Linked DNA regions of Lonchura striata. The protein of the gene in region 3 interacts with the protein of the main gene of each other region in a pairwise test. Links are inferred from orthologs where the notes say so. Each region holds a gene or a part of one and is shown on either strand. Other genes may lie near its edges.

What was found.
Region 1: the proteins of GABARAPL1 (region 3) and OPRK1 interact in binary tests that used the Homo sapiens proteins (3 or more experiments, as listed by UniProt). The link is inferred for Lonchura striata from reciprocal best matches to the Homo sapiens genes GABARAPL1 and OPRK1.
Region 2: the proteins of GABARAPL1 (region 3) and RETREG3 interact in binary tests that used the Homo sapiens proteins (3 or more experiments, as listed by UniProt). The link is inferred for Lonchura striata from reciprocal best matches to the Homo sapiens genes GABARAPL1 and RETREG3.
Region 4: the proteins of GABARAPL1 (region 3) and ATG4A interact in binary tests that used the Homo sapiens proteins (3 or more experiments, as listed by UniProt). The two-hybrid records come from large-scale screens. The link is inferred for Lonchura striata from reciprocal best matches to the Homo sapiens genes GABARAPL1 and ATG4A.

Annotation. Positions count from the first base shown.
Region 1 is NC_134603.1:40,045,977-40,053,966, forward strand, and holds the start of OPRK1 (kappa-type opioid receptor), read left to right. Parts: upstream 1-4,982; 5' UTR 4,983-5,315; intron 5,316-5,797; 5' UTR 5,798-5,864; coding exon 5,865-6,124; intron 6,125-7,990. UniProt on the Homo sapiens protein: G-protein coupled opioid receptor that functions as a receptor for endogenous alpha-neoendorphins and dynorphins, but has low affinity for beta-endorphins.
Region 2 is NC_134627.1:6,273,367-6,281,169, forward strand, and holds the start of RETREG3 (reticulophagy regulator 3), read left to right. Parts: upstream 1-4,797; 5' UTR 4,798-4,811; coding exon 4,812-4,993; intron 4,994-5,544; coding exon 5,545-5,651; intron 5,652-6,795; coding exon 6,796-6,826; intron 6,827-7,803. Other genes in the region: TUBG1 (tubulin gamma-1 chain), read right to left, coding at 504-653, 859-945, 1,628-1,754, 2,345-2,424, 3,239-3,307, 3,493-3,660, 4,100-4,212, 4,488-4,536. UniProt on the Homo sapiens protein: Endoplasmic reticulum (ER)-anchored autophagy regulator which exists in an inactive state under basal conditions but is activated following cellular stress.
Region 3 is NC_134607.1:2,234,482-2,242,490, reverse strand, and holds the start of GABARAPL1 (gamma-aminobutyric acid receptor-associated protein-like 1), read right to left. Parts: upstream 3,012-8,009; 5' UTR 2,910-3,011; coding exon 2,820-2,909; intron 1-2,819. UniProt on the Homo sapiens protein: Ubiquitin-like modifier that increases cell-surface expression of kappa-type opioid receptor through facilitating anterograde intracellular trafficking of the receptor. Involved in formation of autophagosomal vacuoles.
Region 4 is NC_134616.1:11,351,149-11,358,018, forward strand, and holds the start of ATG4A (cysteine protease ATG4A), read left to right. Parts: upstream 1-3,859; 5' UTR 3,860-3,920; coding exon 3,921-3,930; intron 3,931-5,226; coding exon 5,227-5,337; intron 5,338-6,500; coding exon 6,501-6,572; intron 6,573-6,870. Other genes in the region: PSMD10 (26S proteasome non-ATPase regulatory subunit 10), read right to left, coding at 666-819, 962-1,039, 1,822-1,988, 2,096-2,242, 3,348-3,446, 3,544-3,657. UniProt on the Homo sapiens protein: Cysteine protease that plays a key role in autophagy by mediating both proteolytic activation and delipidation of ATG8 family proteins.

The DNA.
Region 1 (7,990 bases), on a different chromosome or scaffold from region 3:
GTCAGCTGGTGCAGTCACAATTCTTACTCAGAGAGCTAAATTCACCCATCTTCCATCACAATACTTGTCTTTAAGCCATTAATTATGTACAAATGAAGGTCCCAAAAACAGGAGGTAGAGGAGGTGGGACGGGCAAGGTTTAGGGGCTGTATGAAAAATTCACTTTTCTCTTCTTTCAGATACATCATTTTTCACTCTTTTAGCAGGCACTAGAATAAGTCAACAAACCATTCTAAGTATGAAACAAAGAAGATTAAGATTTAGGTATCATTGGCATATAATCAACAGAGTTCTTACCCTTCCTGGAAATGAATCATCCTCCTTTTCTTGTTAAAAAGGTAAAGATTCTGCAGGATCTTGAGCTCTTTGGGGAAAAGTCGGTATTTTTTCCACACAATCCACTGGGATCATCCTAAAAAGAAACGACCAGGCTAATCTTAAAGTGGATTTTATTTATTCCCATAAATTTTTGAATCTCATTATCATCTCCTGTCTCAGAACCAAAGTTGGAGGGAAGTTCAGGTTTTGTTAGCTGATCCCCTTTCCCTCTCTGGAACTGTGTAACCACTTACCAGCAGAGCTGTGCTTCCACATGTTGGGAAGTCAACTTGCTGTGAAAGATGGTTGAATGTTAATGCCCACAGAAGTAGTTGTAAATAATAGAGAGATGTAATTGTTTTGTTCTGTCATTGCTTGGTTTGTGTGATTTTTTTTTTTTTTTTTTTTTTTTTTTTTTTTTGTTAAAAAATCTGTCTCAGGTGAGGTGGCCTGTAGATCAGATATATGTATCTTTATATAGATATCTGAAGAATACCACAATTTTCTCTTTAAAGAGAAGTCTTAAAAGTTGTTCTGTAGCTCAAATTTATGGGCTTTAATCATCCTTCTGTTTCCTCTGGAGTCAGAGCTTTAGCCTGTTACATAAAAGTGAGAAGTTATAAAACTTCCAGCTGAGGATCTTGATGAAATGAAATGCAGGGAAGATGGCAAAGTGGTGACCTGTTTTGACAATTCTGCCTCTGCTCCAGGGACCTGGCATGAGTGCCATGGCCAGCTGTGGACAGAAGGGCTGCTGGGGGGAGGCAGGGTGACAGCAGAACAAGGCAGATGATCTCCTGCTGGGGTTTTCTGAACTCCTTAAACCCAGCCACTGAGCTCTGCTCTGTCAATTAGCTCTTCTATGTGTAACTCCCCTTGTTTTTAAAGTCCTAGAGTCAGAAACCTTTCAACACCTGCTCCAGTCCCTCCCTGCAGCTGGCGGTTTGAGCATGGCTGGTCTCTCCATGACCACCCAGGGACTTTTCTGTGGAAGGAGGACTTGCCTTGGGACAGAAGCTATCCCAGTGCTCAGCACTTTATTGGGCTGGTGTCTGAAGGTCACAGTGGAGGTCTGTACCAGTAATTTATTTCTATATGTAACATGAACTTCTGTTATTGACAAGTAAAAGCAAAGCACAAATTTCATGATGAATGTTTAGTCTGCTGTGAGCAAAAAATGTGTACAAAAGCTGTTTGAGTAGCATTGCATATACTTTCTCATCTCTCTTTTGCCTGTTCCCCTCTCTTGCAGGTCTTTTGAAGACCATAGAACACACCATCTCCCAGAAGCTGTGTTCACACAGAGAGCTAACATTTGTGGATGCAGAGAGACAAGAGAACTTTGTTTCCTTGGCAACTGGAGCCACCAGAAAGTGTTTCCAGCATCTCCTACCTTTACACAGGCTCACTAGCATTGTAACCTTTGGTTAATCGTGTAGTAAAAACAAATATTAGCTGAAGAAGCATCTTGATAGTGTGCTCCACTTAACTCATGTGTTCTCTTCTCCAGCCTCTAAAATAGCAGATGATCTCTGGAAATGATCTGTTCCAAAGTGTCCAGCATTACAGTTCATGGCTGAACCTTGAGGTCTGCCCTACCTGTGCATTTGACTGAAACCCATAAAGTGTCATGGTTTTCTAGAAAACAATGTCAGGAACTTAACAGCTTTCACTCAAAGCCTGAGTGTGCTGAGGTGATGGAGCTGGGTCTGTGCTGCAGCACACTGAGCAGATGGCACAGTGCTGCATAGAGTCATGCCTGTGATTCAAGGTGGTTCATTCTTACCTCTGAGTCAGGGCTGAATTAATGTCCCACCACATCTTTAAGGTTTTAAAACACTGTGCTGATGGGGGCAGCCTTTTAGCTTTTGGTAAGAAAAAAGACAGTGCTGAAGCTCTTCCTACTTGCTATTGTTAAATATCACATATTTCCCTCCCCCCAGGTTTCTTATTCATTCAAATAATTTCACTAGGATGGTAAAAGAATACAAAATTCCCAGTTTATGTTTTCCCTTCCACTTACATTAAGCAATATTGTGTAGCTGATTTTTGATTGAGGTAGAGAGCCTGGAGAAAGTAAAAATTTGTGTAAATGCACATGTTGTAGTTCCTAGGTATCAGGCAACTGAATGTGATATTTTTTTCACTTTGAGAGCTGGAATTTATAACTTAAATAATTTTCTATAATTATGGATTTTGATATATAGCTTTATATTCTTAATTTAAAAAGTCCAAGTGGTTTCTGTTGTGTTTCCCAAAGTCCAGTAAGGTGAACACTATCGGGTCTAAAGTATTACAGCAAAAAGTTGGGGAGCATGCAAGCCACGTGTTTGTGAGAACATTACTGGAGGAAAATGGCAGCTGAGCAGTGAGACAATGGGTTTTTTTATGCTGTCTTTCTTCTCTAAATATTTCCTTACTTTCCTTTGAAAGGAGGGCCTTTTGTCTGATGTAAGCCCTTAGAGGGAACAGGGGTTTCTGGCATTGGTGTGTGGGCAGTCTGGGTTAGGTCACCCTGCCTTTCTCTGCCCAGGACTCCGGGAGACTCTGCCCTTTTCCACAGGACTGCTGGGAAGGGTGCAGAGGCACTGTGCAGGCAGGTGTTGAAGGAGAGGAGGATGCACACTTGTTCCCCCTCTGCCTTTAATTTTCCTTTCTATATCGTGGCGGTTGTTCCTGGTACCTGCAGCGACACCAGTTGTTGCTGATAATCCTGATATTCAGGTTTTCATTTGCAAAGCCAACGCAAGAAAGGAAAATATTATTTTTTAACAGTGCATATGATTTTGATTTGACTTTCAGAAGACAACCCAACAACTTAGCTAAGTACTTTCTTTCTACTGTTTCACAAGGTCCTACAGCAACCAGGAGCCAAAACTGGGTCTCCAACATGGAACACACATAAACAAAAAGCATACAGCAAGTTAAACATTGCCTCTGTCTCAACCTGTGATTTGTAGTGTTGTGGTCAAACTCCACCTCCTTCCAGTCCCATGTAGTTACATGGCAAACTCCATGAAGGGCCAGTGACTATAACTGTAAGCACATCTTTTTTTGGTGCTAACTCTAAGATCCATGGAGAGTTTCAGCACAGAATTTACTTAGAGAATGAGCAGATTACTGTCCAATCATTGGTGCTTCAAAAAGCTGAGAGTTTGCTATTTATCTTACTTTTTTGTATTATCTGTGCTGTAGATTTACTCAGAGCAATAATAAGTTTCCTTCCCCATATAGAAGTTTTGGATCCACCTGTAGCAATTGCAGAGTGACAAAATGATTGCTCATAAGAGCTAAATTATCAATGTGTGCTGAAACATTGCTATTTTAAATCTGTCCTGTATATTTTAATTGCAGAATGTGGAAAATTCTGGGGAAGATGCTAATAAGAAGTTGAAAATCGACAGTAAAATTATTTATGAGATGACACAGCAACAGTAGCTTCCTTCAGTACATGGGCAGGAGACCATGGATTGCAGAGGATAAAGCCAGAATTGGAGTACATTTTATGTTAGCATCTACTTCATCTTCAAAAAAATGATTACTTCTTAGATTTGTGTCCCTGTTGCAGGGACATTTCTGTCACGCATTAGTTATTTTGCATTTTTATTCATTGCCATTAAAAGTGAAACTTTTAGACAGCTCTATACACATGATCATGAGAAGTTACTGAAGTTCTAGAGAAAACAGTGACCAGAGTCAAAGCCATTATCACATTTGAACAAGCCTTTTCCTCTAAGAGAGGGGGGGTTCTGTACCTTTTAAGCCTCCTACATGATTTCTCACTCAGCTGACATAATTTAGTCTCTTGATTATAGGTTTAGAAAGAAAATTGGTTTAGAATAGAAAACTCAATCTATCACAGACACTCAACAAGAAGGAGTGTGAAGTAAAGTTTCAAGACTGAAAAGCTTGAAGGAAACCCACAGCTTCTGTCTTTCTCCAGAGACTGGTTTTTCTGCTGCACACTTTGAGATGCAGCCAGTCTGGCTGTTCCCAGCCTCTTCCAAAGAACTAGAAATAACTCAGGGTCTTGCTTCTTCTCTTCCAATTTGCCATTTATAGAGAGTTCTGGTGGGGATTTCAAGGTCTGTGTGTAAGTTAAAGAACACACATATTGGTGCCTTGACAGCTCCTGCTTGAGAGAGTATATTAGGGATAAGCTCTGAGGGATGTGATTTCTGTACACACCGCTTCCCCATTTCTGGCTGCAGCTGGGAGAATGAAGTGCTACAGGGAATTCTGGGCTTCTCACATGGTCTGGGACAGATTGAAAAAATCTGTACAGTAATTAGGGTGCCCCTCTTTTCTTTGGTAGCCAGCTTCTGACTTCGGAGTTGCAGGTGCAAAGGAACAGGGGCACAGCTACCCAGTGAGAAATATTTTGGACACACAGTTGTGGAGTCAAGGTATGAAAGAGCTGATGGACCAGGCAAGATATCTAAACTTAAAATTCCTCTTTTATTCAGTGTCTACTAGTCTGAAATTCTGTGGGATTCAATAAAGCAAAGCAGATTATTTCTTGAGGCCTGGGAGTGTAGGAGAATTGAGGAAAGAAAACTTGGAGAAGTGTATTAAAATAAGCATTCGTTCATAACAGAACTTATTTCTTGCTTTTTAAAAAATTTATCTGCATCTCAGTGTTTAGAAAGAAGTCATGTGAGCGTCTGAGCTGCGGGGACAGAGACAGTGGAGAACGTGTGCATCAGTGCAGAGTGCTGCCGGAGCCCTGGCAGAGCGAGAGGGAGGCAGAGGGAGCCTGAGAGAGAAAAGGCGAAGTGGTGGGAGCTGGAACAGCAGCAGCTGCCGCTGCACGGTGCGGCTCCAGCCTGGAGCCGGCTCTGCTGCCAGCACGCCTCTCTGAGGGCGCAGCTGCCTCACACTCAAAGTCCTAGGTGGTCAGTGGCACTCCCAGGAGCCAAGCGCAGCGGCTTTATTCTTTTCCTTTCCCGCAAAAGAGCACCTGTTTGAGGACTCCGCTTCTTTTCCTGGACTGAAAGGTATTTTTTGTCATTAATGTGTCTTTTCTATGAAAGCAGGTATGGGATCAGGGAAAAATAACTCAGGGCAGGATGATAAAGCAGATGCACAGAGGTTGTGGTTTCTCTGTCTCCTTCCCCTTTATAGCAGAGCTTAGGCAATGAGGAGCCCTTGTTAGGATAGAGTTTGACTTAAAATATGGAAGATGGGAAAGACAGGGTTAAAGTGTGGGAGTGGATCTGAGCTGTTCCCATCTGGTTTGTTTCTCTATGCAACCTTTGAAAGTAGAGGAAAACTTTCCTTGTGCACTTGGAGAAGCAGCATTACATAGCAAGATGTAAAACTTGAAATCATTTAATATGAATGTGATTTATTTAAAACTCTGCTTGGCAAATTACAGTCCCCATCATAGCAGAGCTCCCCTTAACACATAAAAGTTTCAGAGGTCTTAATGTTCTGTGTCTGTAAAAATACTTTCTTTCTCTCTCTTCCCTCTTTCCAGCATACTTGCCTCCTGCTGTGTGCACCCCTCCTGGTCTCCCTCCCTCCCTCCTGGGGACTGTACCCCTATGGATGCCCCCATACAGATTTTCCGTGAGGAGCCAGACTCCACCTGCTCCCCAGGGCCCTGCCGGCCGCCCAGCACCAGCAGCAGCTGGCTCCCGGGCTGGGCAGACTATGACAGCAATGCCACTGGGGTCTTTGGGGATGGCCAGCACAACCACACCAGCATCTCCCCCGCCATTCCCATCATCATCACTGCTGTCTACTCGGTGGTCTTCGTTGTCGGCTTGGTGGGAAACTCCCTGGTCATGTTTGTCATCATAAGGTAAGAGGTTTTGGGTACCGGTTGGAAGAGGTGCAAAAGACTGTCCCTAAGTTTGGTGGGGTGGGGGAGGGGGTGGATTATGCTTCCATACCCCTACCGTGAGGAGCTGGAAAAAAGCAACTGAAATGACCCAAAGTTTGTCAGTCACAGTGGTTTTCCTGCAGCTGTGTTAGAGACAGAAGGGACAAGCTGGTTAAATGTGATAAATCCTGCAGCCTGAGAGAAAGCGCTTGTGCCTGGAGCTGTGTTCATTGGCTGCCCTCTAGGGATGAGACGCTGCTGGCATCCGAGGGAAAACAGCTCGAGTGAAAGAAGGAAACTTCTACAAGGCAGCTTTTATTTCTATTGTAAGGAGACCCCGAGGGACAGAGATGTGTCATGTGGACACTGATACATCTCTGCCTGGGCACCTAATGTTTTCTTTAACAAGAGAGGAGGGAAAGCCAGGAAATTATAAAGAACAGCTTAATGTAAAGCAAGGGATGCTTTTTCTCTGTTTAGCAGTGTTTAACTCCAGTTGTTGGTGTTGAATTGAAAAAAAGTTAAGAAAGTGCTGAAATATCTTTTCCACTGTTTTTCAGGAAAGAGGAGAAAGCTCTGTGTCTGTGTTAGTGAAGGTTTCAAACTAAACCACTTGGTGAAATGCACTGATACTTATGCTTGCACTTACACTTGTGTATTGGTGAATATTTTAGTTTGCATTGTGCTTCCTCTCTCTCTTTGTTATTTTCATCTGCAATCTGTAAGCATGCTTGGACAGTGCTGTTTAGCAGGGTAATAATGAACAATCCAGGGCACTGAAATCATGCAACTTTTTGGACTATTTCTCCACAGCCTATTTGAATTCTGATAAAGTTTCTGGGAAAACAAAAATCCCAGAACTATGGAGTATTCATTGCTCCAATGAAATCAGCTTGCACGTGGAAAAGAATGGAGGTATTGGAAGGAATTCTCTTTTGTAAGGGATGCATCATAAGGGTCAAGCAATTGCAGAATGATGAAGTAACTGTCAGACTTGTTACGAGGGGAAATTATGAGAACTACTGAAGCTGTTGATGAGGTATTTCAAAAATTTGAGTTATAATCAGGTGAATACTCTTGAATAATGAAAGTAAAATTACTATTCAGTGCAATAAAAAAGAGATGACTGTAGTCAGTTTAGAAAAAGTGGTTGGCTCCAGTTTTGTAATGTTGTGATTTTTATACCCCTACATGCCCTTTTGTCCTTCATTCAGGGTAGAGATTTAATTTCTTTTTGTATTTCTCTTTCAAAAAAAGAGACTACATACTTGACAGTCACACAGCTGCAAAGGCAGAGATTTTCTAAGCCATCAATCAGTAACAAAGACAGCTGATTAACTGGCCTGGGCAGTGGAAATAAATCCAAACTTAGCCCTAGAAGTTAGCATGTATGGATTATACTGGTGCATATATATTTGCTTTTTTCTCTCCTTCTGCTACCCTCCTAAGACTATTTTTGTAAGCCTTTAGATAGCTATTGCTCACTTTCCTTCTAGTTCCTACATTAGCCTTTCCTTGAATTTTCTCTTGGCCCATCTCTTGATTACATGGTAAAAAAATAAATAAATATGACAAATCACCCATTGGTATTTTATTTTTTTTCCTTTTATTTCTCTCCTAGGTTTTCTGTGTGGCAAATGCTTTAAACACTGATAGAATCATTAGCTGAAGTGCAGACATGCACAAGCCAACAGTTTTAAATTTTCTTATGGTCTTGAAATATTTCAAATGTTTGTGCAAGAGATTTATTTTCTTCATTCTTTCCAAACCTTTCATGTCCCTTAACTTTTTCTTCACATATACTCTCTGCATGATTGTGTCTCAGGACACAATGCATGAACAATG
Region 2 (7,803 bases), on a different chromosome or scaffold from region 3:
CGAAACAGAAATGCCCCCCCAGGGGCTGGGGGGCACTGGTTAGGGACCAGCAAAATGCAAGAAGCAGCACTTGAAGTGTAGAGGGATGGCAAATTCACTCTCAGACAGACTGAGCTTCAAGAATGGGCTGACACCTGTAGTCCACCACCAGTGACCATGAGCATTAGTGTCTGCTAAAGCTGATGGCTCATGGGGGTGGCAGCACTGGCAAGGCCACTCTCCTGGCCTTGCTCTCATCACTGCTAAGGGTAGCTTTTGCCAGTCCTGACCCTGATGATCTCGACAGCCACCCTGATGCATGCAGCAGGTAGCCTGGCACAAGCACAACTGCCTGCTCATGTCTGATTCACTGCACATGCAGCAGTCACGTGTGAGCACGTGGGCCTGGCGTTTGGGACGTGCAGTGACAGCTCACAGCGAGACGGGGCTGACAGATGCTGCAAGGTGAGTGTGACAGCCTCTCTGCCCTTGGGGGTGGGAAGGAGAGCCCGGGGCTGCCTTACCGACTGGTCCGTGGTGAGTGGTGTGTAGCCTGTCATCAGGAAGTGCAGCCGGGGCGTGGGGATCAGCGAGGCGATCAGCCCGATCAGGTCATTGTTCATGTACCCGGGATACCTGAGCGTGGTGGTGCTGGCAGACATGATGGTGGACACCTAGGGGAGAGGACAGGGTCAGCAGAGGGTCACAGAGCCTCATGCTGACATGCCAAGGGAAGCTGGGGCATCTGGAAGGGCACAGGACCTTCACTCAGCTCCAGGCTGCCCAGCCCTGAGCCCAGCCCGTGAAGCTGGTTCAGACTAAACTGAACAGAGCAGGGAAACCCCATGCTGGTTTCTCCTGAGGGAAAGTCCTTCTCACCAGCTGGTTGATCTGTGAGAATGACGGGTTCTGAATGTGCAGCCGGTCTGTTGCGATCCGATTCAAGGCTGTGTTGTCCAGAACCACCTGCAAGACAAACCTGGCTCTGTGAAGGGCCCCTGAGGCAGCAAGGAAGGGCAGTCCTGGCTGTGTGTCCCAGGTGGTCCAGCACAGGCCCTGGATGGAGCCCTCTGCACAAGTGGCAGACACTTGAAACCACCAGCTGACTCATGTGTGGCACGTAACTGACACCCTCAATGGAACCTCTTCCCTCCCTCCTGGCTGTGCTCCCCATGCTCTCCCAAAGAGCTCTACCCCTGGGCCAGCACTGCCAGTTGCAGCAGCTCCAGTGCAACTGCTCCTGCACTGCCACGTGCAGGGACCAGCTGCAGGGACCAGCTGTAGGGACGAGCAGTGTCTCGGTTAGACGTGAGCAAAGGCTGAAGGCGCTGCCTGGCTGGGGATGTCGTGGGTGCTGCACAAGACACAGGTGCTGCATTCAGGCAGGGGCTGCAGCACAGAGGAAGCACAGCCAGTCCTCACTGCCTTGGGAACATCTCTTGGACCCAAGGCAGATATGCCAGGCAGCTCTGCAGGGGTTAGCACCAGTGAGGGTCCCTGGAGCCACATCTGCTTGGCCCATCTGTCTGTCTGTTCATTGCTGCTCCCGGGCTCGCAGGCACACGGTGCTGGCCCAGGACGGGCTGCAGTTCTGAGCTGTGGGGACAAGGCTGTCTCCTCAGGGCTGGCTGCACCACAGGCCTCTTACCACACAGTCAGCATTCTGGGTCAGCCTCTTCAGAGTCAGCAGAGAGTTGTACGGCTGGACTACAACATCGCTCATCTCATCCTGGTTTGGGAACACTGAGTAGGTCTCCACCAGTTTCTTGGGATACCTAGTGAGAAGTGCAGCATCTTGAGGGTTAACACCATCAAGCTATGCTCTCCCCTCCCACAGGCTGCCTTAGCAGTCTCCAGGGCTCAGGACAGGGTGAGTCACCAAAGCTGCAGCCAGAGTGGCTCCCAGGGAGGGAGAGAATGTGTCCCAGCAATGCCTACCCCAGCAGCACAGCAGCCGGCTGCCAGAGGAGCTACAGGGAGGCTGAGCCATCCACAGGCTGATTAAGCAGCTGCTCACAAGTATTTTCAAGAGGATGCAAGCTGAAACAGGCCAGGATGGCAGCTCACAGCCTTCAGTCAGAGCCTCCCACCCTCCCCTGCACCGTCAGGGTGTCCGCAGGCAGCTGCCTGATAAGGAGGCTGAGGGAAGGCAGAGCTTGGACAGAACAAGTCCAGTTTCAAAGCCTCTGAAGTCCCCAGGCGTATCAGGAGCCAGCCTTCTGCAGGCAGCGTGCCAGGGATTGCACAAGGCAGTGTTTTGGTGGGGGTGGTGGCTCTGAGTCAGCGCTCTCCAGCTCCTGCTGCAGGCAGGCTGCCCAGGCTGGGCCAGGCACGGGCTGTGGGCAGGGGACAGGGCTGGGCTCACCTGTCATTCAGCCTCTCCAGGAGGTAGGAGCCCAGCCCAGAGCCTGTTCCACCAGCGATGGAGTGGCAGAGCACAAAGCCCTGCAAGGAAGCAGAAGGTGCTGAAGGTGAAGCTCAGCCCCAGAGCAGGCAGACAATGTGTCACCCCTGCTACCTCCAGCAGAGACCTGCCAACAGGGCCAGAGCTCCGTGCAGCAGCTGGGAGCATGGATGCAGCAGACTGACCCCAGCTCCTCCAGACCCCAGCAGCAGCCACAGCTCCTCAGGCCACTCCTGCCCACACAGTGGGACCTGCATCTCTGCACACCCCGCAAAGTGCAACAACTGCTCGGGAGCGCTCAGGATTCCCACCCAGAACAGAACTGGAATAGCTCCAATGTCACCTCTAGGGTCCAGTCCATCCCAGGAAATGGAACTGCATGTCCTCAGCCCTTTCCTGGGTCCTTACACCCCTCCCTCCTCCTAGTCTGACCGAGGCCAAGCTCCCACTGCCTGACTCCAGGGCAGCTCCCACATGCTCAGCTCCCACATCAGGCACTTCAATGTCCTCCATTGTTTCAGTGATGTTCTCCCTTCCCCTGCTGCCATGTCACAGCCTGACATGAACACCTGGCAGCCCTGTCTGCACACAGGGTGTGCATGTTCACATGGACAGCATAAAGAAAATGCCCCACAAGCAAACAGTGGAACAACTCCTGGGGCAGGGTGGCAGATGGAGTGGGAATGGACAGACCCCCTGTTCCTAGATCCCCTCTCTACACGTTCTGTGCTCAGTCCCAGAATCTCACTGAGCTAATCTGTGCCCACTAGAGTGCTGAGCTCAACCTTACAAAGAGCAACCTAGCTGGGAAAACACCAGGCAGGGCCACCAGATCCAAATCCCTTGTTTACTTACTTCCAAACTGTCACTCCCATCAGCCTCTCTGTCTATTATGTCAAAAATATCTTCATGGATCTTTTCTCCCTGCAAGAGAGATCAGGACTGGTTTTGCTCCTTTCCCACAGAACATGGAGAAGAGCTGCTCAAGCTCAGTGTGAGTCGAGTCAGACTGGCAGTGTGGTGCTGTGCCCAGGGTGCCACACAGCACATGGACACAGGACAAAGCCCCAGGGCTGAAGAGTCTCACCCAGCAGCTCTAGGGCTGGTACCTGCGAGAAGCCACTGGCCCAGTTGTTGCCAGCTCCCCCTCCATGCTCAGACAGGTAGATGTTTTCTGGGTTGTAAAGGTTGGCATAAGGGGAGTTGAGGATGGAGTGGATGACACGGGGCTCCAGGTCCAGCAGCACAGCCCGGGGGATGTAGTGCTCATCATCCGCCTACAACGGGAGCAAGAGGATCTCGATGCTGCTGCAGCTCGGTGCCACCTCCCCTGCCAGAGCGTGAGCCACCCCTGGCTGCAGGTGAGCCCCACATGGCCGGGCCTGGCCAGAGGGAGCAGGGAGAGAGAGGCTGCTCCTGTGCTCAGTGCAGCGTCTCTGTGTGTCTCTGTGCCCAGAGCACCGCCAGCCTGGAGTGGGAGGAACTCCGGTGCTTACATAAGCCACTATCTATGGCAGCCACAGCCTCGTGCTTGTGCTCCACCCGCACAGGCTCCGCTCACACACCGGGAGCGCAGGCGGGAGCCCGGAGCGGGAACCGGGGCCGAGCCGCCGCTCCCGCCCGCACGGTGGCGGCAGGGACGCAGCCAGCCCGGCTGCACTGCCGGGGCACAGGGAGCAGGGCAGCACTCGGTGCCCGCTCCGCGGCCGCCCGTACCTGGTAAAAGAAAACGTCCTTGCGGTCGGTGCCCTCGGTGGCGAACTCTTCCACGATGCCCTCGGGGCTGATGCCGTGCTCGGCGCAGAGCTGCTTCCAGAACTCGAACCCGACTGCGGGGAGGAGCGCTTAGACAGACCGAGACCGAGACCGAGACCGAGACCGAGACCGGGACCGGGACCGAGACCGAGACCGAGACCGAGACCGGGACCGGGACCGGGACCGGAGCGCCCCGGTCCGCAGGCCCCGCCCCATCCCGCCTGGCCCCACCCCACCCGTCCCAAGCCCCGCCCCGTCCCGCCAGGCCCCGCTAACTGCCCCCCCCACAGCATCCCGACCCCGCCCGGCGCGCGCTCCCCCGGGCCCGCCGCGGCCGTGCCGCGCTCACTCTGGTTGCCGCACTGGCCCAGCTGCAGGGTGATGATCTCCCGCGGCATCGCGGCCGAGGCTCCGCTCCGCTCCGCGCCCCGCCCGACTCCGGTACCGCCGCGTCTCCCGCCGGCGCCAACGGCAGTGCGCGCGCGCACCGCGCACTTCCGGGGCAGCGCCGCGCACCTCTGTCCGCGGCGCGTCCCGCCAGGAGGTGCAGGCCGCGCATGCGCCAAGATGGCGGCGCGCTGAGCGGAGTCGCCGCGTGTTGCTGGGGGCCGCCATGGTTGCGGCGGCCGTGCGCGCGCGGCGGGCGGGCGGATGTTGACGCCGTGAGGGAGCGATGGCGGCGGCGGCGGGGCCCGGGCCCGGGGAGCGGCAGCGGCGGGTGCAGGCGCTGAGCGCGGCACTGCGCGGCCGCCTCGGGCCCTACGAGGCGCTGCTGGGTGCCGTACAGGCCGCGCTGGTGTGGGAGCGGCCGGGCCGCAGCGCGCTGTGCTGGGTGGCGGTGCACGGCCTGTTCTGGTGAGCGGCGGGCTGGCACCGGGACCGGCACCGGGATGGGGATCGGGATAGGGACAGGGACCGGGACCGGGATAGGGACAGGGACAGGGACTGGGATAGGGACCAGCACCGGGACTGGGACTGGGATAGGGACCGGCACCGGGATGGAGACCGGGATCGGGACCGGGCCGGCAGGGCTGAGCCGGCGGGGCTCGGGGAGCTGTCCCCGGGAGGAGCGGACCGTGAGGGGCCCGGGAGCGCTGGGTCCACTGCAGCCCCGGCCTCTCCGTGTACCCGAGAGCGTTTCAGACCAGCCGGGAGAGCTCAGCCTGCTGTGGCGCTGGAGGGAGGGCGGCTTGCCTGGGACAGGAGCTGTGCAGCAGGGCTGGCCCGGGAGAACCGACACGGGCAAACGAGTCACCCGGCAGCTGCCCCCGGGGCACGCTGCGTGCTGACTGAGTAGCAGGTGCTGAGTTTTCCTCCTGAGTGAGTGGTTTGAGGTTGGTTTGTGTTATCCCTTTTTGTCTCATAAAGATCTGGCCAGTACCAACTCATTGGTTTCTTCCCTGTAGGTTCTTTGCTCTGACTTCCCTTCGTTTGCTGTTCCTGATTGCTGTAACACTCATAGTAGTAGTGTGTCTAGACCAGTGGAAGCACAAAATCTGGCCAGAAATTGGTGGTAAGTTGCATTTTGAGCTCATAGCAGCAAATCAAGCCCAGTTTCCAGCCCCACAACTACAGGCTCTATACTGCCTGCAGTTACATGGTTAAAACCTCAGCTTTTTGCTTTAAGAGTCTAGAAGGCAGCAAGAGTACTGCAGGCATGCTCTTTCTGGAGATGGAGTATTCTAACCTGTGTAAACACAAGTTCTTTTTGTGCTTGTGACACTGGTATTTGTCTTGTAATCCTGAACCACAGGATGTACGTGATCTAGTGCAGGCATGAGACCATGATTCACTTTCTGAGCATTCAGTACCAGGGTGAGAAATGGAAGCATATGTGGAACTCATCTGGATTCCCCCTCAGAATCCATAATCAGTTTAGGATGAAGACAAAGTCTCAGTCTTGCGGTTGATCAGAGATTTCTTTGGGAGAAGAGGCATCTGAGCAGCTGTAATGAAGTTAGTTTCCAGCTTGCAGTAACCAAAGCAGTTGTGTCCCTCCTTTGTGACATTAATACACTGATGAACACCCCCATTCCAAGCAGCTCGGGGTCCCTTGGCTTTGCATGGACAGGTTAGTTTGGAGCAGTGTGAGGGTCTGCATGTTCCCAGGGCTGGTTCCCTGACTAACCAGCAAGTTCAGCTTCCAGCTTTCTGCTTCAATACGTGTTCTCTGTAGTTCCTGGGAAGACATTAAAGCTTTCTCAGTTTCAAAGCTTGGCTCAGGCTCCTTCTTAGGAGACAGCGTCTGTCCAGCTCCCTCATCCCTCTGATTTGATCTCTCAGGGTGGCTGGTACATCCCTTTCAAGTCCCAGCCTGGGTGGGAAAGTATCAAAGGATTTAAATCCCTGGTGCCTACAGTCTGCAGGCTGTGCCTCCTCTGCAGCTGGGGCGTGCAGGGAGTGGGGGAGAGGGAAGTGGGCAGCCTCTAGTGTCCAACAAACACCAAGGAGCAACAGGGAGACTCTTGCAGTCCTGTGCTGTCACACGTACACGCTCAAGATTTGTTATGGAGTGATGCCTCTCCATCCTGTAATTACAGTTAATGTCTTTTCCAGGTGTTCCCCAGCTCATTAAAGCTTTACTTAAATCCCAAGAGCTAAACATTCCCATGGCAAATTCCTTGAAACTAATGTAGTGTCTGTTCTTAATATTTTAGTGGCAAGACCTGATGAATTAGACAATGAGAGGTAGGAAACTAATTGACTCCTCTGCTGTGATACTTTGCTGTGATACTGTGTTGTTACCTGCACGTGCTTGGGATATTGGCCCCTTTGGGCCAGGAGGAGGGGGAGAAGGGAGGAGGGAGCTGGGAGCTGCTCGACCAGAGGGCAGATGGAAACCCAGGTGCAGTCAGGTGGTTGTGAGATGTTTTTGACTTGCCCAAGCCATTTTATTGTACTTTGCCTTCATACCAGCCTCCAGATATGCTTGCTTAACTCCCTGCTGCCTGAAGTTAGAGGTGCTGCCTTAGGAGCAATTCCTCTTGTTTGGGTCTCCAGTAGCAGGAAAACAGCATTTCTGTGGGAATTAATGAAGTCTTTTGAGACTTGATAGGGAATATTTAACAGGCTGGTTCCAGCAGTTGTTCCTGCATAGTTATGATCTGACTGCAGCATTAATTATGGGTTGAGAAATGCTGAGGTGTTGCCTCACTGCTCACACCTGCCTCTCTGGGCACACCTTCCTGCCGCCACTGCCAGGCTGTGCTGGATGTCAGTTCCTGATTAAATCACCTGAGCTGGTGCCAAAGGACAATTGTCTTTATTCATTCTTTTTTAAGAGGCCCAAGCACAAAAGGAATTGCTCTTTCTAAACTTCAGGTACTCATGACTAGCAGTTAGGCAACACTAACAGAACTGACCAATTCAAGGCCTCCAAAGTAACTGAGTACATGAAGTGAGGTGCAAGGCTGCTTCTAGACCTCATGCTGAACACTTGGAGGCTGCAGTTGACCAGATAAACACAGAAAAAGTAAATGGAATCACTTGATTTGCCTCTGCACTGTGCACTCCCTGCAGTAGCGTAGAAACTGGTCCAGACCATTGACTGAAATTCCTGCTCATCAGCTGCTGTGGGAGCACTGGGATGCTGCTAGAGGGGCTGTAGATGAACTGCTTTGGGCAGGGCACTGCTTGGAGGGCAAGTGACCCTCATCTCTAGAGCT
Region 3 (8,009 bases):
CAAAGCTCTGCAGCTTTAGGATCAAACAAATCAAGAGGTCTTTTGCTAAAAGATATTTTTTGTTAGCAGAGCTAGGCAAAATATTTACCTCCGAAGCAGGAATTATTCCAAAGTGACCTGATCTCCTTTTCCATTGAAACCTTTGGAACTACTGTGTTTGTGCAGAAAAAACCTGCAGGCTTTTTTTTCCCTCATGTGTATTTTTGAACTGGTAAAAGATATATCATGTTTCAATCTATATGGCTTGCTGTTCTGCAGAAGCCATTCTGACCACCTAAATGAAAGCAAAAGCTGGATTTTTCTGAACTTCCTAAACTTTTTAATTTCCTTAGACCCTGTAAATACTCCACAGGAAACACTGTGGGACTGATTTCTAAGGGCTCCATGCTCCCATAGCTCTTTGGCAACCCAAATACAGCTGTTGTGTAAGGGAAAAAGTTGGACTGCTGTGGACTAAGACTTCTTTGGAAGCAAAATGATGTTGACCCACTAGTGAAACACCACACCAGAACAAAATGTTATCATGAGCTTGGCGTATTTTAGCCTGGACATGGTGCTGTGCTAACCTGAATCTTTCTAAAGCCAAGTGAGTGTCTGCAAAATATCTCACACCAGAGAGGTACCAACTAGGACATCTTTTCCCTGTGCTCCATTTGGATGTGGCCAGCACAGCCAAACCCGCTGAAGTTTCCAGGTTTGATTTTAAAATAGAAACATGGTTGCCTCAGCTACTTCAAGATTTTCAAGTACCTAAGTTAGCACAAGGCATTCAAGCTCCTTCAGGGAGTCTGAGGTAGGACATGGATTTCTGTACAAGATGCAGCTGGCAAATGCTGTGAGAGAAGGACACTACCACAACCTCACTGAACAGCAACACACAACACTTCTCACATTTTTTACCAGCACAGCCAAACAAAGCAGTAGCTAACACAATAAACTGCAGTGGGGAAAAACCTTTAGTTCTTGCCTCCAATTTAAAAAGCTACTGACAAGCCAAACTGCTTGCTGTGACTTCCCTAACTGGAGGTGGGGGGGAAGGAGGGGGATTGTAGATTGGTCATTAGATAATAAAGGAAAAGAAGTCATGCCTTTGAGGTGACTGTTGGGGGTTCTAAGCCCCTAGGAAAGATTTAGGAGAGATTTAAATCAGATTACCACTGATTTAGGAGAGCTTAAGGGACATCTCCCTCCTGCAAAGATGCACGGAAGGAATGGAGATGCTCTGCTCATCTGACTGGCAACTGTAGTCAGTTTTGCTGTATAATGCAGCTTATCTCTTCCGAGCCACTAAACCCTTCCCATACATAAAAAAAAAAACAAAACCAAAAACCAAAAAACAACTAAAAGGAAAACCGTAAGGGTAGAATACAGATAGCTACATTTGCCTGGCTGTTGAGTGGCGACTGTGATAACGCAGGGCAGTGAAATCTCATCAAAATGCTGAGATGTATCACGGCACTGCAGCGTAGGCAGCCAAAAGGATGACATCTTCAAGGATCCTGCTGTCAGGAAGGGCAGACACAGAAGTGATGTGAAGAACAGAGTGCTGCATTCAAGAGGCCATCCCTAATAATTCACATCTGGGCCTTGCTGTGCATAATTTCCAATTATCATTAACTCCAGCACACCTTGTTATTCTGGTCCTGGTTTTCTTTACAAAGTTCTGCTGATGAGCCCCTGTCTTGACCTTCTTTACCTCCTGCCAGACTGGGCCTTGTCCTGGGCTCCCCACAGGGCTCTTCCCGACACATTTGTCATGGCCTGCTGTGCAATCTGCCACGTTAATCCTCAATTTACACCTTGTCTCTCACCCAACCTACACAGCCCTCATCCTAAATACCCAACCCCACACACCTCAAGCATGCTCAACCTATGCCAAAAAAGAGAGAACAAAGGCACCCAAATACTGACTTCCAAAAACTTGTTTCCAAGTCCATTTGAGGGTCACTCCCAAGATAAAAAAATGTTGTTAGCCTGCAGGGAAAACATGGGGTGTAACTGTTCCCCCTTTGTCATTAGTTTTTCAGGAAGGACCCAGTTTTTTTGAATGCAGTACAGTTGTGCAGTCTATCTAGGGCAGACCTCTCCAGTGGGGAAGGAAAAAAAGAATACTTGCAAAATGTTTATTAAAAAAGAAAAAACACTCTACACTTAATTATATTTGTCTTTTTTTTTTTTTTTTCTTTCATCCCAATAATTATTCGGAATTATGAAGCCAGAAGTTTCCCGTAGGCACTCCAAAGGGGCCTAAGAATGAGGAAGCAAAATTTAGCTAGATGACCTTGCATTCCAAGTGACATTTTCTCCACAGGATGATTAAACAGGAGGGTAAAAGGACCCAGAAGTATCATTTTTTTCTGCTCATGCAAAGGAAAAGAGCAAGGCTATATAGAAAAGACAAGCCATAGTGAAGTAAAATAAAAATAACAGGGACGTACGAGATGACCCGGATGCAGACCGTGTTTAGCATGAAGAGTACCCGGTTAACCGCCTCACTGATCTCCATTTTCACAGAAACACGGGTGAGCTCCTTGCCCACTCACCCCCACGCATGCCAGAAAAAGATCAGCAGCGTTCCCACCGCGGAGTCACCGCGCATCCCGGGGAAAAGGTGTATTCCACCCCCACCCGCACCGCAGCCCTCCGCGCATCGCGAATAGCCCCAGCTTCGCTCTAGGGAGAAAAGCAGCCGGGGATGCGAATCAGAGCAGCGAGATCACGGCCATCCGTACTAAACTCATTTCCTTCCAAAACAAGGCGAGCAGCAGCCGGCGGCCAGCACGGAGCGCAAAGGCGGCCGCCCGGCAGCGCGCACTCACGGGGACTCTGTCGGGGTATTTCTTCCGGATCTTCTCCCCTTCTTTTTTCCTGTACTCGAACGGGTGGTCTTCCTTGTACTGGAACTTCATGGCGCCGGGCTGTCCCTCCGCTGGCGGCTGCTGCGGCTGCCTCCGCCCGGCCGGCGCTGCGCACAAAGCCGCGGCCGCTCCCGCCCCGCCGCCAGCGCCGCTCTGACGTCACGCCCGGGCCCCGCCCCGCCCTTACGTCACGGGGAGGGGTGACGTCACGCGGAGGTGCCCCCCTGACGTCACAGGGAGGCACCGCGCTGGCCGGGGCAGGGAGAGGTGGGCGGCAAGGAAGGGGGGGCACCTTCCGTCAGTGTTCGTGCACTGATGTGTTGCCCGGCAGCACATAAACAAACAACTGTTATACACGAAAATTTGTCCAGCCAGATTAAAATGAAAAAATAAAATATTTATTTTGCAATCCAATTCTATCTATCCAGCCACACGGAAAGAACAGAGCCGAGCCCGGGGCTGGCCCTGGGTGTGCAACAAGGAGTCAGCCTCAGCAGAGGTTTTCCTCTGTGCCCACACGCCTCCATCCTGGCATGAGTGGTTTTTATAGGGAAAATTCCGCCTGAGGTCAAGATTTTTGCAATCAGTCTTTTCTTCTATTCAGAGTCCATAGGTTAAAAAAATTTTCTTTTTTGGTGATGAGGAAGAACAATTCAGTGTCTGGAGTTGTTGGATCCCTTGATGAAGTTTACGGGAACCCTGCATTCACATGTATCTGCCCAAGGATTTCCATCATATCCATCTCTGGGCATCCCGTATCTCTCCAGACATGGCCCATCAAATCGGGCTCTAATATACACCAGGTGTCACCTGTGAGGTTGGGGGGGACTCCTAATACAAACATGTATACTCCAACAAATATTCAATATCACATTTATCATACCAGAAATGGCGCAAATTAGATCTACTACACATAACACAAGCATTTAAACACAATTTTTATTTTTTAATACATACATGCCCTCTGCAGTGTGACTCAGGGCTGTCAAAACAGCACCAGCCTCAGCGGGGCACAAGGCTCGGGGCTCCCCAGGAGAGGCCTGGGTGGCCCCACTTGCCCCGATGGGTGTGGTGCGAAATGTAAAAAATTGTGCTGCATACACAAAAATAATGGCTCATCCTTGTGAAGGAATAAATAAATAGGCTCCACAACTTGGGGTAGTTATGAAGGGGGTATGTACGGTCAGCGCCTGGCACAAGTGAGATATTTCTCCAAGACTTGCACACTGAGTTTTAATCTGACCCAAACTTTTATTCCCAAAGGTGTTCCATATGCAATACGTTACACAACTTTTCTATGCATATTTAACTCCTGGCCCCGCCTGCCCTTGTCCCTAATGCTAAATAAGTCTACACCCTTCTGGGCACACGTAGTTTGCTGTGGTGGTCGCACGGGGGTCCCTGGTGGTCTCTTGAGGCTGAAGATCATAGTCATCCTCATGGTTGAACTTTAGTACTCTTCTTCTCTGCGCATGCATTTTCAGTCTTTTGGTGCTTATCTGAGTACAAGTATCAGTCTGAGAGATAAGTCTGGAGATAGAGGAGCCTCTTTATCTGGTTTCTTTTTCTTTTTGATCCCTTTTTTTTATTGCTTATGCAAGAAGGTTCAGTAATTTGCATTTCTTATGCCCTTTTGTACTTTGGTTTCTTAAGTAAAAAGTTAAAATTCAACACATAATTTTACAAGCTAAAATAGAAATGCTTAATTCCTTTTGTTAACTTAAGTGAATTCCAAAATTCTCTGTTTCACTTGGACTGGCCCCGTGGCTGCTGGGGTTTGGGTTGTTGCCTTTTTTGTAGCACCTCTCTGGCAGAAAGCGTTGCCATATGATGGGTCACCCCAGATGCGTGTTGCAAACAGCAGGCAGCTAAAGGTCTGCCAACAAGCCAAAACACCCAGCCAACTTCGGCCCAGTTACTCAGCTGGCACATAAAATATCTGGGTTTTTTTCCCCTAGGAGTAGATCAACTCACAATTATTCACTGATCAGCAGAAGAGCAGGTATTAATGAATGGCTCAGCATGCTCAAATCAGGACAAAAATAAATTGCTACAATTCAATGAGTTGGATTGTATTAAATTATTTTTTCTTTGCATGCTTTACCTAGAGGAAACACAATTTTGCCAAGGCTGATCTTTTATCTGTGCAGGTGTTTTAGCCATAGCAGACTATGAGTGGAACAGCCAGATGCATGAGGTGATTCTCCATGGCCACACCAAAGGCAGAGGTAAAAAGACACAGATTTCCCAATTCAGCCCCGTGTCTTTACTGAGGATGAACAGGGGTAGGAAAAGGTGTGCTGGGGTGTGATTCTTCTCACCTGAATCATGACACCTACTTTTGGATGGCTGAAGTGTGTCTGCAAAAACTCTGGCAGGTCCTTTACTTTCTAAGCTTTTATTACAGTTACTTTTTTTTTAATACAAATACTTTTATTTAGTATGGGGTGGAGTGACTTCTTGCTAATGGCCAGTTCCAGCAGGTGCATGCCCAAATCTCCTAAGGATCAAGCAGCCCACAGTGGGAATGTCACCAGCCACAGTGTCCCAGCTTTCTCTAGTTCATGTGCACCAGGTTTGTACAGGAAGCACCGTCAACACGTTTCTGTCTGTCCTAGGACACGTAAATGTTCTCGCATGGTTGCCAGGTCAGAGGAGCTCAGAGGGATGAGTCAGAAGGAAGGAATTATTTTTTGCAGTTCCATAGCAAATATCTCAGATTGAAGGAGCCCCAGGGTTTAGACCCAAGGAAAATTCTGGTTTCATGGCATTAAACTTTTATGTCAAGCCTGTGTTTGGCCTCCTTGCCTCCTGACTGCCTGCAGCACAGCAGTTGCTGAGGTGTACTGAAGGTTTGCAGTGATGTTCCTCAAGCACAAAAGAGAGGAAGTTTTCTAGTCTGTTTCACCTAAGCCACCAACATATTCTGGCAAATTTAAACAGACCGATCTCAAACTCCTCTTATCATGTGAATTGCTGTTTTTATCCCCAGGACTTCTCCCAAGGCAGCTAAGGTAACACCTGGTTTTAATTTCTCATGACAAATCAGAGAAAAGTGCCAGGTTTTTTTTCCTGTTCTGATGCAAAGACATGGCCCTGTGAGCAGATTGCTCAATGACTTCTCCTCAGCAAATGCCCTAACTGAAGTTTCTCCCTGCCCTGATGGTGCAGCTCTGGATGTGCAGCCCCAAGACTCCTCCTGCTTCCCCACTTTGTCAGGCACCGAATTCCCAGCTCTCTCCTTCAGCTTCAATAATAACAACAACGTCACTGGCAAAACAGGCAGGAAGATGATACATGCAGAAGCAGTGACAAACATCTAAACATCTGACTTAGGGTTGTTAAAATGTCAGCCCATGGGCATGTGACAAACCCCACGTTCTGGATTCGTTTGCCAGAGGGAGGAACTGGAAATGGTGTTGGCTAATTTTCCTACCCTGGACTGCCAGCACAAAGTGCTCCTTCAAGGACTGTCAAAACAATATATTTTTTCTTAACCTAGAGTGTCAGAACACTGTGAGCACGTTCTGTACTGCAGTATCTGCAGGTCATGTGGTACATTACACGAGGGATTTCCCAAGCATTGCCAATGCTGCATGCATAGGAGCAGGAGACAAATATTTGCACAGAACCTGGGGGCAGGCTTTGCAGCCTGTGCCGTACTATACAGTCCTGCTTATAACTCTGGACTCCCTTGCATGTTTCTTTCATTATTACCATTATTCATTATTGGGTCATTTCTGCCTCTACAGACTTTTTTTTTTTTTTTTTTTAATCTTAAGTGTGGACTCCGCATATCAAAGTGTCTTTTGTCAGGAAATTTGTGCTTTGTGGTCTGAACAGTGATTAAACCACAGATGGCACACCTGAAGGCACTCGTGCTTCTGATCTGCTCGCTGCCACCCGTGGCACAGTCCTTGCCTGGTGTCTCTGCTGTGTCCCTCGTGACTGGTCACCAGTTTCTCTTGGCACTGGATCTGTAGCACCTTCAGAGCCAGTATGGGCACATTGGTCTTGGATGAGGGCACAGGGTTACTCACTCCCAGTAAACAATGTTTAATTGTCTGAATGTTTTCTTTTCCTCTAGGAAAGCACTCTGTGTTGTCCATGCTGGGCTGCTGTCTCGCTGCTCTATTTTCTACAATTTCTTAGTTGTTTTTTTTCTTTTTTTTTTTTTTTTTTTCAAAAAAAGGCTGCTCTTTCTTACCATACTTCTTGTATGGCCCAGCTTCAGCTAAAGTTGCTTAAAGGCATACAAATGATGTAATGAGGAGATTAAGGAACACAATCACAATTGCTGCATGATCAAAAGCAGCAGTAACAGCCCAGACTTGCAAAGCAGAGTTTGAGATCCATTTGTTCCAGCCAGTGATTGGGAGTGGCTCGTTGGGGAGGGGTATCATTGTTCCTGTGAAAACAAAGGAGCAACAGTGGGGCCACTGGGATGTTTCTGAAAACCAGTTTTTCTCAAAGACTGCGTGTTTTAGGGGAACCTAAGGGTGGCACTGTTACCAAACAAGTTAATACTTCTTTTAAAAGGAGCCTGTGCAGCAGTGTCGGGAGGGAAATTGCTTTAAGAATATTTAATCCATGAATTGAGTAACAGATGACAAGCAAGCTATGGGTGATGCCCATGTGTTAGAAAAACAAATTACCAATTTAGGGACTGATGTGCTTCAGTGCTCTTCGACCAGAGAGAGAAATTTTTCGTTGAGACCTGGCCACAAAGAATGCAGAATTTGTAACCAAAGACACTTAGAGAAATTGGAGATGAAGGAGAAACTAACAAAGAAAATTACTGAGATTCTCTCTACCTGGGAAAAAGAAATAAATAATAAAAAGACTAAATATGTGGATTAATTGGCATTAGAAGCAATAAATAAATAACAATAGGTGATAGAATACTATTTAATGAAGAGAACTATGTAGCTTGTAAGCCAATGAACACTAATTTCTTTGCTCAGATGTATGAATAGTTAAAGGTTTTGATAACTGGCATGTTCTGTGGAGTTATTCACATGTACCCTAAAACCAAATACAACTATGTTGACTTTCTACCTCAACAAATTGGTTAAAGAGTCTATTTTCCAGATTTTGATGGCAGTTTCTGGTACCCCAGATGGGACAAAGAGATGCCAACTCAGTGGACCA
Region 4 (6,870 bases), on a different chromosome or scaffold from region 3:
GAGTGAACCTTGAAACTGGGCCTGCATTCTGCAAGCAGTCCAGTGCACTTCATCAAATACATGTATTTAAAGACTCAGGGAAAAACAGGATAACAACCAGTAATAGAACAGGTTTAAACACTCAGATTTCACTTAATACACCACAAGTAGCAAACTGGATACAATTATCTAAGTAACTAAGCAAACTGCATTCTACGAAGAGAAACACAGTGTAGCTTAGAATCATCTGGAGAAAGACAATCGGTAGCCACAAAACACAGACAAAACCTCACACAAAAATCACAATGGCTAAGAGAAAAAACAAAGACTCTATAAGAAAATAAAAATTGGCTTTAAATGGTTAAAACATTTTTGGTCCTGTTTCTTGAAAGAAATAATTCTAAACTGAGATCTGAAGTAGAAGGAATACCACACTTATACACATCACACTGTAAACTGAAAGAAAACTGCAAGATATTGAAAAATACTTTAAAATCAGTGAACTATTTAATTAACAGGAAGTACAAAGACTTGTTTTGGCAATGCACTTGAAGGACAGCTTCAATAACAACATTTCATTACCATGCTGACACCATACATGATATCCTAGATGAGCTATCAAAATATGAAGTTTGCAATCCTAAGTAGAAGTGCAACAGGAGAGAGACTCAAGTGGGAAGCCCCCTCTAGCCTTCCACCATTCTTTTAAGGATGGCTCCCAGGCCACCCTTTGCCACTTTCAGAGGGGTCAGCTCTTCTTTATTCTCAATGTGAATACTTGCACCATGAGACACCAGCAGCTTTGCCTCCTCCACTCTCTCTTCATCGCAGGCTAAATGACTGCAGGGAGAACAAGAAACCCACAGGCACCGTTAAACTGTCCAAGCTTTTAAAGAGCAATAATTACACCATGTCAAAATGACAGTGTGAATGTTGGGGGGAGATACATCTGAGAACAACAAATCCACAAGCAGCCAACTACCTAGACAGATTCCAAAGCTTGCTGTCCAGTCCCTCTGTCATCATTAAGCAACTCAAGAACATTCCTCCTGCTGCTCTCCTTGCAATGTTAAGACAGGTCTTTGGGTTAGGATTTGGCTATGCAGTCAGCAAAGCTAAAGAGAACATAATCCATGGTGAGAATGGAAAATGGCAATCTCTATTAAATTGAAGGTGAGAAATAAATTGTCTGATGCTACGAAATAATGAGTTACTGCAAATGCAGCAAATGCTTTTTTCCATTTGGCACAGTGTCCTAGGAAGAACTGTGTGCATTCCAGGGCCATACTGGGGTTTATGTACAGCTAAAACTTACTGCTTGATCTTATTCACAGCAAAATCTGGATTCCACTGTGGTTGTGACACCAACTTCAAAATATCTGTAACCCTTACAGATTCAAATTGATCTCTAAGGTAACAATAAACACTGGGCTGATTGTACTTCAATTGCAACTTATTTTCCTTAGAGAGGTGAAGAAAAGCTTCTGAAATGAGTTCTTGCTTGGCAGGACAGATTAGACCAGCCTGCAAGAGCAGTTTCCTCTGGCTCTGATGTCATTAGCTCACTTTCTACCCTGTAGCAGCAACAAATGTATTCCAGATTAATAAAAAATGTGTTCTACATTCTTTAAGTGGATGCAGTAACACAAAGTATGCATGTACTGACCACTATGGCAAAATACTAAGTATGACTTTCTCAAATACTCCTCAATTGCATAGGGATGCTAAGCAAGAGTGTATTTTGCAGCAACAAAAAAAATATAAAAAGACATTGAAGTAATGGAGTTGCATTTCACAGAGATTATGCTATATTGAGCAAAATAAAAATAAAAAACTACTTACAGAGGAGTATTCCCTTCAGAGTCCCGTATATCCAGAGTGGCATTGTGCTGCACAAGGATCTGGACCATTTTTAGGTTTCCTTTGGCTGCCGCTCTGTGTAACGGGGTGGATTCAAAATGATCTGTTGCATCTGGATTTGCTCCATTCTCCAAAAGCATGACTGCAATCTGAGTATGTTGAAAGAGAAAGGAGCAGGGGAGGAGGTTGTGGGCTTAACAGACCTAAATCCTTCTTCCAAGAACACCACCAGCTCCAGTAGCTTAGGTAAACATACCTCCTGCTTATTTTTGGAGGCTGCATAATGCAGGGGGGTGCAGCCATTCTGATTGACAGCATTTACATGAGCACCCTTAGCAATGAGGGCTTTCACAATTTCATCACGGCCTGCTGAAGCAGCAATGTGCAGGGGAGTCCAACCAGCCTACAGAGGCAAGAAGAAATCCATTAAATTATTCAAACCATGAGTTTCATGCAGGAAAACATGATAATGCATAACCCAGACAAACCTGAACTACACACTCTTACTCTTACAAGTGTAAAGCTAAAGTATTACTGATTTTCACTAGACACAAGGCTCATGTCTTCTTACATGCCTGCACGCAGTACCTGGAAAAGCTGTCAGTTAAACGACAGAAATCACCTCTGCTATGCAGTTCTGCATGGTGTTTTGCAGAACTTTGTCTCTGCAGAATTTACACTAGTGCCTTTTTAAGGACAAACAGCAGTAGTAGAAAAGGGTGTTAAAAAGTTTCTGCAACTTTTTCTATAACTTATTCTCTACACTCATGAGACATTTCCTTCTCTATGGATGACATTTGAGATGCTTTGTACTGGATACAAATATTTCAACTCTTCCTCTAGAACAGGAGCAGGCTGTGAAATCACTGAACCTGCACTGGCTTTATTAATACTTTCCCTAGTTTGAGAAACCTTCAGGGTGCCTCATGATTTGGCAAAACACATCTGAGAGATCACAGAGAGATAAGGTAATGTGAAAACGCCCCTGGTTTTTACACCTTCCTTCATAAGCACAGCTCTCCTATAATTCCGGGACAACGAGCAGGTCTCAAATCCCCTCTTCATGCCTTTTTGCAAAAGCGGAATACTTCACTCTGCCTTCCCAGAGCAGCCTGGATCTGCACAAGTGCCAGACGCGGCGCTGGGCCCACGGGAGAAGGGGCAGGAGGGCGAGAAGGGAGCGGCGTGAGCGGCCCCGGGAGCGGTGTGAGCGGCCCCGGGAGCGGCCCCGGGAGCGGCCCCGGGAGCGGCCCCGGGAGCGGCCCCGGGAGCGGCCCCGGGAGCGGCCCCGGGAGCGGCCCCGGGAGCGGCCCCGGGAGCGGCGTGAGCGGCCCCGGGAGCGGCCCCGGGAGCGGCCCCGGGAGCGGCGTGAGCGGCCCCGGGAGCGGCCCCGGGAGCGGCCCCCGCCGCTCTCGGGGCCCCTCCGCGCTGGAACCAGACTGCAGCGGGCCGGCAGCACCTGGGCACGGCGGCAGCCTCGGCCGCAGCGGGGAACCCGCGGCACTCACATCGTCCTTGTCGTTCACAGGCACGCCGAGCCCGAGCAGGAGGTCCGCGACGTCCGTGTGTCCCGCCGAGCAGGCCCAGTGCAGCGCCGTGCGGTGATCCTGCGGGAGGGAAGCGGTGAGCGGGGCAAGGACGGGCAGCGGCCCGCAGGAGCCGGCAGGAGCCGGCAGGAGCCGCCCGGGGCCGCCGCCGGCTGACCTGGTCGGAGCGCGTGGCCTGGGCCCTGTCGCGGAGCAGCAGCGCCCGCAGCTCCTCCAGGCGCCCCGCGAACGCCAGGTTACACACGGCCACGTCCGACACCGCGCCCTCCATGCTGCCACCCGCCCGCGGGGCGCGACCCCCACCGCCAGCCGCCAATCAGAAGAGCGCCGGCGCCCCGTCCAGCCAATCGCGCCTGCCCGCCTGCTCCGCTCGCCGCTCGGGCCGCGGGGGCTGCTGGGGTTTGTAGTGCTGCGGAATGGGGGCGGTGCGCTCCCGGCCGGCGGCGGGACTGCAGCTCCCAGGGCGCCCCGCGGCGCGGCCGTGTTGTGCCTCCGTGTCGGGGCGAAGGGGAGGAGGATGGTGACAGCGGGAGGATGGAGGCCGGTGAGGGGCGCGGGCACGGCGGGCGGGGCGGCGTGAGGGGCCAGGCCGGGGCTCCGGGCATGCAGCGGGGCCGCCGGCGGCGGGAGACGCCCGCGGGCTGAGGGACGGGGGCCGGCGCGGCGGGCGGCGCGGTCCGCCCTGAGGGGTCGCCCGGCGCTCGGGGTCCCGCGGCCTCTCCCGGGCCGGGCTGGGGGCTCGGCCGGGGCCGGGCGTGAGGGGCTCGGCCGGAGCCGGGGCTGCCTGGCCCGCAGCTCGGGGGGAGCGCCGGGAGGGGAAAGGAGACCCCGGCGAGGAAAGGAGCCCTGGCCGTACCTGCACGAGCGGTCGGAGGGGGCTGCGAAGGCGGCAGGTGCCTCCGGTTGGATTTCGAGGGTCGAGAGTGTCTTAAGTCTTTGGAGTAAAAAACAGACAGTTTGCTCTCGGAGTGCAGTGAGCGACGGCATTTCTGTGGGAGGGTGCAGAGCACGGTGCGAGAAGTTGTTTTGCTGAGCTGCCCGCCCTAAGGAGCCTGTCCTGGTGTTTAAGCACTGCCTGCGGGGACGCGGGACGTCGGGGCTCGGCAGTGGCCTCATGCTCCAGCCAGAGGGTGGTGCAGCTCCCTTTTGATTGTTGGAATGTATATTTTTAAAAAATTGAATATTACTTAATATATATGATTTTACATTAATTTTTTATACTTGAAGGGTTGTTGCGCTCTTCCAAAAAGCACAATTTTAATGATCTAGAAAATTGTTAGACTGTGTTCTTTTGGTAGTATTAATTATAATTTATTTTTCACTAAACAGATGTGGTGTTGAATAATAACATTAATACATCTGTTTTTTTTCTGAAGTGTTTCAAATCTCCAGTTAGGAAAGTAAAGCCCAGCCTTGCTAACACTTCTCACATGCTTTCCATTAAGCATGAGGTCATAATCACTTTGATTTGTATTTTTTCTACGTTTCAGATCAAGCTGTGGTGCCTGATTTTTTTTTTTCCTTTTATCATTATCTTGAATCAAATCTCATCCTCACTGCAGTCATCCTGAACTTCTGTCACTGGTTTCAGTGAGACTGCTTCTAAAGGTGTTATTCCTGGTGTTCTCTCACTGAGGAACTAAATAAAAACCAAGGCATTGGCTATTTCAGTGTCAGAACAGCTTTTAAGGGAGACAATTAAAAGCAGCTGGCAGCACCGCTCAGAAGCCCCAAAGACTGCAAAGACTTACTACAAACTAGCTCAGTTTGAGAGCTCCAAGTTGTGCATAAAAGAACAAGGGGATAAAATGAAGTTTGAATTTTGTGTATTCCTGTTCAGTTTTATCTAGGTATGAAAACCAGATCACTATTTTGTCAGACTACTTAGAAGAATTTCCAGAAACCGACGAGCCGGTGTGGATTTTAGGAAGGCAACACCACCTAAACACAGGTATCTTTAGAATTAAATTATCTGTAACATCTGTAGACTATTTGTAGATTCACATGCAGCAACAGCTCCTGATTTCCTTATGTTCCCTGAATGTCTCATGAGGGCAGTTTGTTCTTCATCAGTGAGACACCAGGTGTAAGCAGGGGAATTCCTCCTGTACAGAAACCAGAGCCAAGGCCAGTGTGCTTCCACTGTAATTCCTGCAATATGATCACATTCATAGCAGAGTCTGTCAGACGTGAGCCTTGTCACTTCCCAACATCAGGGCCCCAGAAATGAATATATAACTTTTGGGAAATGTTCAGCATTACTGATGTCATTTTCCTATGAGGGATGCTGTCCACAGCCTGTTATTTGCAACTAGAATTATATTTCAAGTAACAATAATAAGTTAGTCTATGACACATACTGCATTTTAGCGAAAATAAATACATTACCTGAGAGTTAGAGCAGAGGAATGTGTTTATATAAAAATAAGACTTCAGAAATGAGTTTTGCTCCCTGGGGAGAAGACAGGGCCATCCTCCTGTGTTACATGTCAAAGGCAGTGGCCACCAGTGCAGGCACGGTGTTCAGGACAGCTGGGGATGCTGCATGGATCCTTGATCAGCTGGAGAATCCTTTGGAAAAGCCAGCCAGTCTGAGCCACAGCTAAGGGGAAATGCAGCAGATAGGGTTCTTAAGCATTCTTCAGAGCCTTTGGAGAATCTGTAAATGCATGTGTTTAAACAAACAAGAAAAACAAGAGGCTTCAATTTGACATTATTACCATTTTCTTAAAATTACTTTCTGTTGGGTTAGGAGGTAATGTATAATTCCATGTTGATTTGCACGTAGAACTTCTTAACCTGCTTTACCAGTTCTTTCCTGAGGACATAGTTCTCCAGAGTTGCTTTATTCAGGCTGGGCATAGTCATTCCAAACACCTTATAAAATTTCATTGGCTAATAATTATTTCATCTGTAATAAGTTAACTTTAATTAGCAGTCTGCAAAAGCTCTCTGTGTTTAAACTGCTAAAAAATGTTTTAAGTATTAAGGGTCTTTTATGTAAAAGCTATAGGAGCCTTCCTTGTACTCTGCGTATTGACTGTACAGGGATAATTTGAATTTTTCAGTTTTAATTCTGTTTTAATAATTTATTTCCTCTTAAAATTATTCCAGACAAATCTAAGTTATTGCTGGATATAAGTGCTCGTCTCTGGTTCACGTATAGAAGAAAGTTTTCACCTATTGGTGAGTATGCAGCATTCCAGCTGCCTGGTTACGGATTAGCAGGATTAGTGATGATGCTGGGGACTGAAAAGTTATTTTTACAGTACTAGAACGTATTGCTCATAATCTTAACTGTGTATGCAAACAGAAGATTAAAGCTATTAAAAGCAGTATTTGCTTGTACCTGTATATAATCAGGTCTTCATGTTTGTGGGGCAAGCAGTGAAGTGACAGCAGCCCTGTGGGGGGAAAGGGGCTGGCTCAGTGCCGTGAAGCTGGGGACAGCTTAGTATCATATCCATGGTCTGGGATTAAGCAG